Linked DNA regions of Macaca mulatta. The protein of the gene in region 1 interacts with the protein of each later gene in a biochemical or structural test. Links are inferred from orthologs where the notes say so. Each region holds a gene or a part of one and is shown on either strand. Other genes may lie near its edges.

Region 1 (4,948 bases):
CAGCTCACTGCAGCCTCAACTCCCCTGGGCTCAAGCGATCCTCCTGCCTCAGCCTCCTGAATAGCTGGGACCACAGGCATGTGCCACCACGCTCAGATAAAGAGTGTCAATTTCTGAAATGAAGAGAAAACCAAGATATGTGTGTGTGTGTGTGAGAGAGAGAGAGAGAGAGAGAAAGAGAGACAGAGAGAGAGAGAGGGAGAGAGGAAAGGTGTTGAGAGAGGGCTAGAAATGCAAGCTCACAGGCAGAAAGGGAGCCTGGCTGGCTCACAGCTGCATTCCCAGTGCATGGTATTGCAGTAGGTGCTCAATAAGATGTTGACTGAATGAATGAATTTGAGAAGCATGAACCTTTCCCCACTAGGAATCCTTTGAAATCTTGGAAGTCAGGCTGAGTGTTCCCATTCATGGAATGAGAATAAGGTGCTCCAAATATCAAAGGGTCAGCTCAGGGATGCTCTGGTGGACATGACAAGGGACCACACATCCCTCCAGTCTCCCAGGGTCAGAGGGCTCCTCCCCAACCACCTCACCTGCCTCTCTCTGTTCCATCTCTCCCACATCACTCAATTCCAGGAGCCTCCACAGTCTCCTGCTCTGGACACCCTTCCCTATGCAGTTCCCACTCCCTGGCAGTGCCCTCCTCTTCACCCTTAAAGGCGAGCTGGAATGTGCCCTCCTCTGGGAGGTCCACCAAGATTTCATCTCACAGTCCTTGAACACACCTCACCCTAGTCACATATTCTGTATTACAATTTTTGGGGTCTGTACTGGTTTTCCCCACGGGACTGGGAGCACCATGGGGACAGGAACTATCCAGGTGATTCACCTCTTGTCCCCAGCATTGCCTAACATCAGGCTATGCACAAATAGGTGAGTGAATAAAGAAACGAACAAAGGCATAAACTTCACCCCTCAGGTGTTTGGAGGTTTCTGGCTGTCTTGGGGGCCTCTCTCTGCCCTCTGATCCCTGATAGGCCCTTCTTTCCAAAGTTAGGCCCCAACCCACTCTCTCCAGCCAGCCCCACCCTGACACCTACGGGCCACCTTTTCGGCGTGGGTCAGCAGGGTCCAGCTTCCCTTCTCTTTCTCCTTCAGGGCCTGCTGCTCAGCGTTGAGTTCTGTGCAGAAGGGCTCTTCTGGCATGGGGTAGTGGCGCTGGGCATAGCAGTTGGTGTAGCGGGGCGTCTTCCCCCCACCACGGGCTGCAGACACAATGGAGGGAGCTGAGTCCAGGCTGCCCCTTGGACACCCTATCTCTAACTATATTAATAAAGAAAGTGGCTGGGCTTGGCGGCTCACGCCTGTAATCCCAGCACTTTGGGAGGCCGAGGCGGGTGGATTGCAAGGTCAGGAGTTCGAGACCAGCCTGGCCAAGATGGTGAAACCCCGCCTCTACTAAAAATACAAAAATTAGCCAGGCGCAGTGGTGGGCACCTATAATCCCAACTACTCGGGAGGCTGAGTCAGAAGAATCGTTTGAACCCAGGAGGCGGAGGTTGCAGTGAGCTGAGATCACGCCACTGAACACTCTAGCCTCAGCGACAGAGCAAGACTCTGTCTCAAAAAAAAAAAAAAAAAAAAGGTTTATAATAGCTTGGGGTACTAGCAAGGGCTCAATAAATGTTTCTTTGTTATTCTCCATGGGTCAGCAAGGCCCTTCTGCTATCTGGCTGAAGTCTCTCCTGCTTTAGGTCTCTTTCTTCTTACTAGCATTCAAACTGGGGTCTGGAAAGGAGGAATCAGGGTCCAAGGTTCTGTCAGCATCCTCCACCTCAGGACAAAAGACCTAGGGAGGCCGGGCGCGGTGGCTCAAGCCTGTAATCCCAGCACTTTGGGAGGCCGAGATGGGCAGATCACAAGGTCAGGAGATCGAGACCATCCTGGCGAACCCGGTGAAACCCCGTCTCTACTAAAAAATACAAAAAACTAGCCGGGCGAGGTGGCGGGCGCCTGTAGTCCCAGCTACTCGGGAGGCTGAGGCAGGAGAATGGCGTGAACCCGGGAGGCGGAGCTTGCAGTGAGCTGAGATCCGGCCACTATGCTCCAGCCTGGGTAACAGAGCGAGACCCCGTCTCAAAAAAAAAAAAAAAAAAAAAAAAAAGACCTAGGGACCTGAGGCTTGGGGGCGGGCTCCTAAGGAAGCTTGGAATGGAGATGGCCACTGTCTGCTCACCCCACGGACTCCATTTCCTGGAGAAACTTGGCCTGGGACCAAGGAGTGGGATCATAGGAAGTGTGGTAGGAACAGGCCCAGGGTGGCATGGAAGGGCAAAGGGGGCAGAGGGGACCCCTGCCCCTATCTCTGGAGTTAGGCTGGGAGGAAGGACTCCAGGTCTCACCGGTGCCTTCTGAGCTGTGCATCCCTCGTCTTCCACGTCCACCTTTCCTCAGCACCAAGCTCCAGGCAGCTTTGGGCAGCATCTGGGGGCGTGGAGGTATAGATGAGTTCTGCCCCCACATCACCCTCTGCCCCCAAACCTTAGGGCCAGACGGAGAAACCCTTTTCCACTGGTATGGTAGTGGTAGGGATCCCAGGGTTTCAAGGTCGCCCTCATGCCCTTGACCCTTCTAATTTTGTCTGATATCCCTGGGAAGGGGGGGCAATGGGGGTCCTAGACCTTTGGAGCCCCTTCTTGGGACCTCAATTCACCATCTGAGAAGTGGGAGGAGGCCTAAGTCTTGGGCCAGGGTCTGAAGAGTTTGAGGCTGAGGGCTTGGGTTCTAGTGCCAGCCCCAGCTCAGTCTGGCCAGACTAGAGAACTCTGCTCAGTTGTTTGCTCCCCAGAGGAAGCTGGGTGGGGTCCAGGTTGAGAGGGAGCAGGTCCCCAGGCTCTCTTCCCTGCCCAGCACAGGCAGAACAGACAGACCGTCTGGCCCCCACCTCTTCCCCCATAATTGGCCGCCTACGTGCACACAGCCCTGCTCTGCTGGATCTGGTTGGGGGTGGGGGACTGGGCTCAGCCAGACCGGCTAAGCCCAGTCCCCCACCCCCAGGGAAGACTCAGGGTTTGGCATCCATGGGGGTGGGGAGGGGCTTTAGAGGATAGGGACTCAACTGGGTCAGAGGGAGGGAGACACACATCTGGGGAAAAGAAGGGGATCCCACATCTAGGGGGAGAGAGGGACACCCAACAAATAGAGTGAGGGAGGGGGCACATTACAGGTGATAAGTGGGAGGGGGCGGCCCGCACTTCTAGAAAAGAGGAGCTCCAGCCAGTGATTATGATTAGTGGGTGGGAGAGCTCCACATATCCAGAGAGGGAGGGTGTAATCTGTATTTGGGGAAAAAGATGGCATACATATGCAGACAGAGGGCTCCCCAGGAACCCTCAACTCTAACCTGCATGAAGCCCCCCAACCCTCTAAGACAGGGACCACTCGGGGCGCGACCCAGCGGCGAAGGCAGGAGACCGAGCCGCGCCCCTGACGCGCGGGCTTGGGTTGCGGGGTCCTCCGCCAACTCACTCACCTCGCGGGCTCGGCAGCGGGAGTGCGACCTGGGTCTGCCCAGAGAGCAACTGAGAACCCGCTGCGGAGGGACCTGAGCGCGGGCGCCCGCCCCCGGCCCGCCCCACAGCCTTTCAGGGCCGCCCCCGCGTGGGAACGTCCTGCTTCGGCTGGGCGTGGGAGCGCACAGCCCGCGTCCCTGGGGGCACCCCGGCCCACAGCTTGGGGGGAGGGACTGCAGAGCGACTCCTGCATCAGTGTCCCTACCCCTGGGGTCCTGCCTCTGGAGACCCTCTGCAGACAGTAGTCCCAAGAGCAGGGTCTCCCTGCCTCCTCCACACGTTCCCTCCTTGCTGTTTCTCCCACCTGGGATGTTCTCTTCAGGCCTTTGAAGACACAAACCTTTCAGCTAGGCCCAAAGCCTCCTACTCCAGAAACATCTTTTAGGCCAAGCGTTGTGGCTCACGCCTGTAATCCCAGCACTTTGGGAGGCCGAGGCGGGCGGATCACCTAAGGTCAGGAGTTCGAGACCACCCTGGCCAACGTGGCAAAACCCCATCTCTACTAAAAATACAAAAATTAGCCGGGTGTGGTGGCGGCGCCTGTAGTCCCAGCTACTCGGGAGGCTGAGGCAGGAGAATCGCTCAAACCCGGGAGGCAGAGGTTGCAGTGAGCCGAGATCCCACCATTGCACTCCAGCCTGGGCAACAAGAGTAAAACTCCATCTCAAAACAACAACAAAACCAACAATAAAAGAAGAGAGGTCATCTTGGCCAGAGTGTCATGGTTAAAGGGGAGGCTGGATGGAGGGAGAGGTGGGCTGGACCACCAAGAAGGACCTGTAGGTCATGGTAAGGAGCTTGGATTTTATTTAAAGAAGGTGATTAAACTGGTGTGGTGGCACACCTGTGTAGTCCCAGCTACTCAGGAGGCTGGGGTGGGAGGTGGAGGTTGCAGTGAGCTGAGATCACACCACTGCTCTCCAACCTGGGCAACAGAATGAGACCCTGTCTCAATAAATAAATAAAATAAAATAAAATAAAAAGAAGGTGGGAGGCAACCAAAGTTAAGAAAAGGAGTGATGTGTTCGAATGGAGCAGAGCACGAGTTCAGTAAATGTGTCCCGGGACTGTCAGTATATGGATGGCAGATGAATGGGCGAGGGCTGGGGGTCCCCTCGGTGGCCTGGAGACAAGAGCTTTCCAGGTCTCCCTGCTCTAGGTCCCTGAGGTATGCCCAGCCCCCATGCCTTCCATCAGGGTTCCTATACCCTAACGAGGCCATAGCGGCCTGCTCCAGACAGTCTCTAAAGACTGGCCAGGTGTGGTGGCTCACGCCTGTAATCTCAGTACTTTGGGAGGCCAAGGCGGGCAGATCACTTGAGGTCAGAAGTTCGAGACTAGCCTGGCCAATATGAAGAAAACCTATCTTGCTGGGCGTGGTGGCTCATGCCTGTAATCCCAGCACTTCAGGAGGCCGAGGTAGGCGGATCACACAC
Region 2 (5,003 bases), on another chromosome or scaffold:
GCTGGGCATGGTGGTGAACACCTGTAGTCCCAGCTACTTGGGAAGCTTAAGTGGGAGAAATCTCTTGAGTCTGGGAAGTGGAGGTTGCAGCCAGCCAAGAGCACGCCACTGTACCCCAGCCTTGGCGATAGTGTGACCATGTCTCAAAAAACAAACAAAACCTCACAACTAGCCGAGATGAAAGGTTGAACACATTTCTGTATTTCTGTATCTACCTTAATATGTTTGTTTCCTGTATCATTTCCAGAATGCCAAAAAAAAAAAAAAAAAAAAAAAAAGAAAATCAACTCTCTAGCCTTTACTTTAGGTCTTTCACATTAGTCCAGGATTGTCCCCTTGTAAGTTAATTGCTACACTGTCCCTGAATACCACTAACTTTATGCAGTCACCAAGTCCTCTGCTACAAGGCCTTTTAAAGGCTGAAATCTTAAAAGTATTTCCAGGATGCATCTTTAAATTCCCCACCATAACTCAGACTAGGATTTCAAATATGAATTACAGCAAGCTTTCCACATTTCTTCTACAAATAAAAATAAGACTCACATGTTATAAATTGCTTTCAGGCCTTAAACACCTATCTAATCATCCCTATCACCTTTGAGACTATGGATTTACATCTTCCCAGTCTTCTCACTGTCCCACAAAGATACAGCTCTCAGCTCGCCAGCACAGATTTATTTTCTCATCATTCTTTATGTCTTACCTTGTGCTCACCATCTCCATAAAATCTCCAAGGACTATTCTAAATGTGTATGGCACAGACTACGCATGAAATAATTCAGTATGTAATTACACTGTTACACATCAGAAAACTATGACCAGAAGCATTTGTCTGTCCATGTCTGGCATAAATGCTGCAGTTCTCAATCTGGGCAAAGAAACTAAGAGTCAATTAGTGAAGTGTTATTCTAGTTCAGGCAGTCCTAGAAAACCAAGTAAACAATCTAGCACCATGACTGGTTAATGCTGCTGCACTGATATTTAGGGCTCCTGCACTTTTTAATCATTAAAGTTTCTGCATCAGTCATGAAATCAAGCACAGTCAAAAAATCATGATCTGTGGTTTTCTTTTTAATTATCTTTAGTCTTGCGATCACACATTTTAAAATTTGTGTATATCTCCGCTACTTTAATCCTTTTAAGTTGGCAAAAGCACCATTCCCAATCACAAATACACAGTTCTACAGTTTTATGTTTCTGAATGGCTGTTTAAAGACAATCCTAAATTATAACTTAGTTTGACTTAGATTGTAAAGAATTCAAGAGTGAAGTTTAACTTGCTACTATTTTAAAAGCATGTGACCTTATAGATTTGTAAGATGTGAGAAGTGTTGAATAATCTTTAATATTACACATAAACCATACTAAAATGCTCTTCAATAAGTAAAAGGAACCATTTTAAATACAGGGAATTATAATTAGATTGGCATCGTTAAGGCCAAAACTCTAGACATTGCTACCTTATTTATCTTCAACCCTTGCCTTTAAGAGGCAAATGAACACAAAACACAGGTGAATCTTGCTTAGTTCTGAGACAGTGAAGGAATTTCCCCAGTATTTAAATATATTCACATAACCAGCTATATAAATCTAAATATAAAACCAATCTCCAGTAAGTTTTAAGATGGCACTCACCATCTTTGCGAAAAGTTGAACATTACTAACAAAGTCTAATCATATCTTTAGAAGGGGTAAACAGTGATAGCATTTACTGAATTGGAATTACTATTAAAATTCAAAAACGGAACATATTCATTTAACCACAAGCCAGTCTTAGTTTTAAATCAGGACTGCCCAACAAAATATTCTGTCAGTCATTCATGATCTGAATTCTGGTGTATGAGATCTATTAAAGTATGGTACACATAAAAAAGTCATGAGACATTTGTTTTGTAATAAATAAGGCAGTGGCCAATTATTACTCATTAGTAGCTTTTTTGAGATAAGCTATCAAGTCTGCCCTTTCTTCCTTCTTCTTAATGCCGACAAAGATCATTTTTGTTCCAGGGATGTACTTCTTGGGATTCTCCAAATACTCCATCAGTGTATCCTCTCCCCAGGTGATGCCTAAACAAGAAAGAATGCATCGGTTAAGTATTTCACACTCCTCATAGTGTGTCACAGGTGATATTCGTGCGTTTTGTACTGTTTTATTTAACAAGTGGCTCTTACCTTTGTTCTTATTGGCGGCTGTGTAAGAGTATCCAGGGGCCTGACCTGTCTTCCGCCCGAAGAGACCATGGAGATTTGGCCCAGTCTTGTGCTTGCCTCCCTTTTCAACGGTGTGGCACTGGGAACACTTCATAATAAAAATCTTCTTGCCTTTCTCAACATCACCCATATTTAATTCTAAAAACGAAAGCCCCAACTTAGTAATTTTTCCTCAGGTAACAAATACAGTGTAAATGAATGACCACTCTAGCCACTTAATTACCAATCCATTGGTAATTTATGTCATTAAATACCAGAATTAATCTTGTATTGCTTTAATACTCTTTATACCAAATACTCTTTAATACCAAAAACATTTTTTAGGAGCACCTCCTCAAAAACCTATTTTCGTGTGTACACGTGAAGGAACGTTAAAGCCCAAGCAAGCAAAGAGGGAACCTAATTCAAACTCCAGTTTCAGAAGAGAAAATCATGGTCACTAAGCCACAGATCTGACGCTGAAGGGCGATCACATTAAGCCAAAATCACCACAATTTCAATTTTTAAGAAGGCCTAGTCATTTAATCTTACTACCATGTAAAGCTACCTCTTCCTGAGGATATTGCAAAGCACACAAATATTTAAAAAGCGGTACTGGCTGTTTCTACCTGCCCAGGTCACAGAAGTAGCCTGACACTCGAACTTGTAAATGGGAACGCAGGGGCAGGCTGCACGGTCCCCGCAGGACATCCCCACTCTCCTACCTGTGATCCCCCGGGGCGAACATGAGGTCACCCATCCAGGTCGGTTTCAAGGTGACTGATGAAACTGTTTCTAGGATGTCAGAACGACTGACGGAAGAAACGTGCCCACGTAAAGAAATGGCCCCTTATTAGAAGAGCAACAGCTTTTGCCCTCTGAAGGAGAACGTGAAGTGCTAAGCTTCGGCTTTCCGGGTGGGAAGTCTTGCCTATCATTTCCATAGCCCCTCAGCAACCACTACGAAAGGGGCCGCGTCTTCCTCGGATCTGTATCTAAGCCTCCTCTAGTCCCTGACTGAGACCATACCTGTCCCTAGTTAGGGCCGCCGCACCTCAAGCGGTTACTCGCCCGGTTCGGTCTGACCACAGTCCCGGGTCCTCACTCCCGGCCCTCCCACGCAGCGCGGGCTCCACTCGGAGGCTCCACGCCTGGGTCTCGGTCGCTCGCGAGTGCGCGCCGCCCACAGCTCTGCCTCTAACCAGGTGCGGCTTCCGCGACCCGCTCTCACCTGTTTTTAGTCGCTGGCGCAACGAATATTCCCGCTCCAAAGCAGGACGTCCCCACTCTCTAAGTCCAAGGACACGCCGGTTCGCGCTTAAGTACCGGTGTAAGTGCAACCAAACTCGCTCCGCGCTCCCGCGCCCTGACGTGCGGCCGAGCTGGCGGCTACGCAGTAACGTCGCCGCACCTCATTGGCTCTAGTCCCAATGCCTGCGCAAAGGACCTGCGCGCGCATGCAGGCGAGCATGTTAGGGTGTGCGGCGTGCGTGCCCTTCCTCTCGAGGCCTTTCTTGCCCGGCCGTTACGACAGGCCTTTGGTCGTACGACAACGAGGTGGTGTCGGGAGGGGTGATGTCACCCGCGGGCCTCTGTGCGCTTGCGTGTGCTGGAGGAACGGGGAGGGTGGGGCGGAGTCGCCTTGTTGGCGCGTTGCCCTGCTAAAGTATCAGTTCTTGGGCGTGGTGATGTAATGATCTTTGAGCAGGGCGTTCTGCCCGTCCAGGAAAAGACGCCTTAGTTTTGGCGCACCTAGAGGTCTCCTAGCTACCATCTTGTCAGCTGGCGACCTTTACCCAGACTCTGTCCTGCTCCCTTGGCTGGCGCCAGCAGCATCCTAGAGGGACAGCCTGGAACCAGGAGTTACACGAGTTGGGCAGCAGCTCGTGACCTTGTTCTAGTTCCACCTCTACTCCGTTACTTTCAGTCATCTTCCAGCTCTCCGCTTGATGGACGCCCCAAGACTGAGGAACGTGCTGCATTTGCGGCAGAACAGGATTATCCCTCTGACCCCTTACCTGTCAGCGTCTTTTCTGCTAACGCCCTCCTCCCCCTCGCGTTCGTGTGCCGAAAGAACACAGAATGTGTGCTGGCAACATCTAGGAAGAAACATTTTTAGATGATTAGAGAATTATTGGAAATCTAGAGGATTTGCATCCCTTCTTACCTAGGTAAAGGTCATGTTCAAGTAAACTTAATGCAGTTAAGATCATATTGGAAATAAAGGCGTTAATACCCAGCTTTTAGTTATCATAGCCATCCTTTAAAACTAGATCCCCTTCCTGACATGCCTAGTTCTGTCACTGGTTTTCTTGACTCCTTTACCCCTCAAATTCTGGTCCCAAGTTCTGATTAATTTTTCCATCTTTCTTGTTTTTTTTGTTTGTTTGTTTGTTTTTTCTTCTCTCTCCTTGTATTCTGTCTGGCACTGCCGTATTAAGTCAGGTGTTTATTGGCCGGGCGAGGTGGTTCACGCCTGTAATCCCAGCACTTTGGGAGGCCGAGGCGGGTGTATCACTGAGGTCAGGGGTTCGAGACCCGCCTGACCAACATGACGAAACCCCGTGTCTACTAAAAATACAAAAATTAGCCGTGCGTTGTGGCGCGCGCCTATAATTCCAGCTACTCAGGAGGCTGAGACAGGAGAATCGCTTGAACCTGGGAGGCAGAGGCTGCAGTGAGCCGAAATCGTGCCACTGCACTCCAGCCTGGGTGACAGAGTGAGACTTTCTCAAAAAAAAAAAAAAAAAAAAAAGTGTTTATCGAATGCATGTTATGTGCCAGGTATTTTTCTAGGTACCTGGAGTATTATA

What was found. The genes of interacting proteins can lie anywhere in the genome.
Region 2: the proteins of COX4I2 (region 1) and CYCS form a complex in vitro, tested with the Homo sapiens proteins (4 studies listed by BioGRID). The link is inferred for Macaca mulatta from reciprocal best matches to the Homo sapiens genes COX4I2 and CYCS.

What each region holds. Positions count from the first base shown.
Region 1 is NC_133415.1:84,454,288-84,459,235, reverse strand, and holds the start of COX4I2 (cytochrome c oxidase subunit 4 isoform 2, mitochondrial), read right to left. Parts: upstream 3,518-4,948; 5' UTR 3,473-3,517; intron 2,425-3,472; coding exon 2,343-2,424; intron 1,206-2,342; coding exon 1,041-1,205; intron 1-1,040. UniProt on the Homo sapiens protein: Component of the cytochrome c oxidase, the last enzyme in the mitochondrial electron transport chain which drives oxidative phosphorylation.
Region 2 is NC_133408.1:103,267,838-103,272,840, reverse strand, and holds CYCS (cytochrome c), read right to left. Parts: upstream 3,483-5,003; 5' UTR 3,220-3,482; intron 2,350-3,219; 5' UTR 2,342-2,349; coding exon 2,173-2,341; intron 2,068-2,172; coding exon 1,919-2,067; 3' UTR 1,051-1,918; downstream 1-1,050. UniProt on the Homo sapiens protein: Electron carrier protein. The oxidized form of the cytochrome c heme group can accept an electron from the heme group of the cytochrome c1 subunit of cytochrome reductase.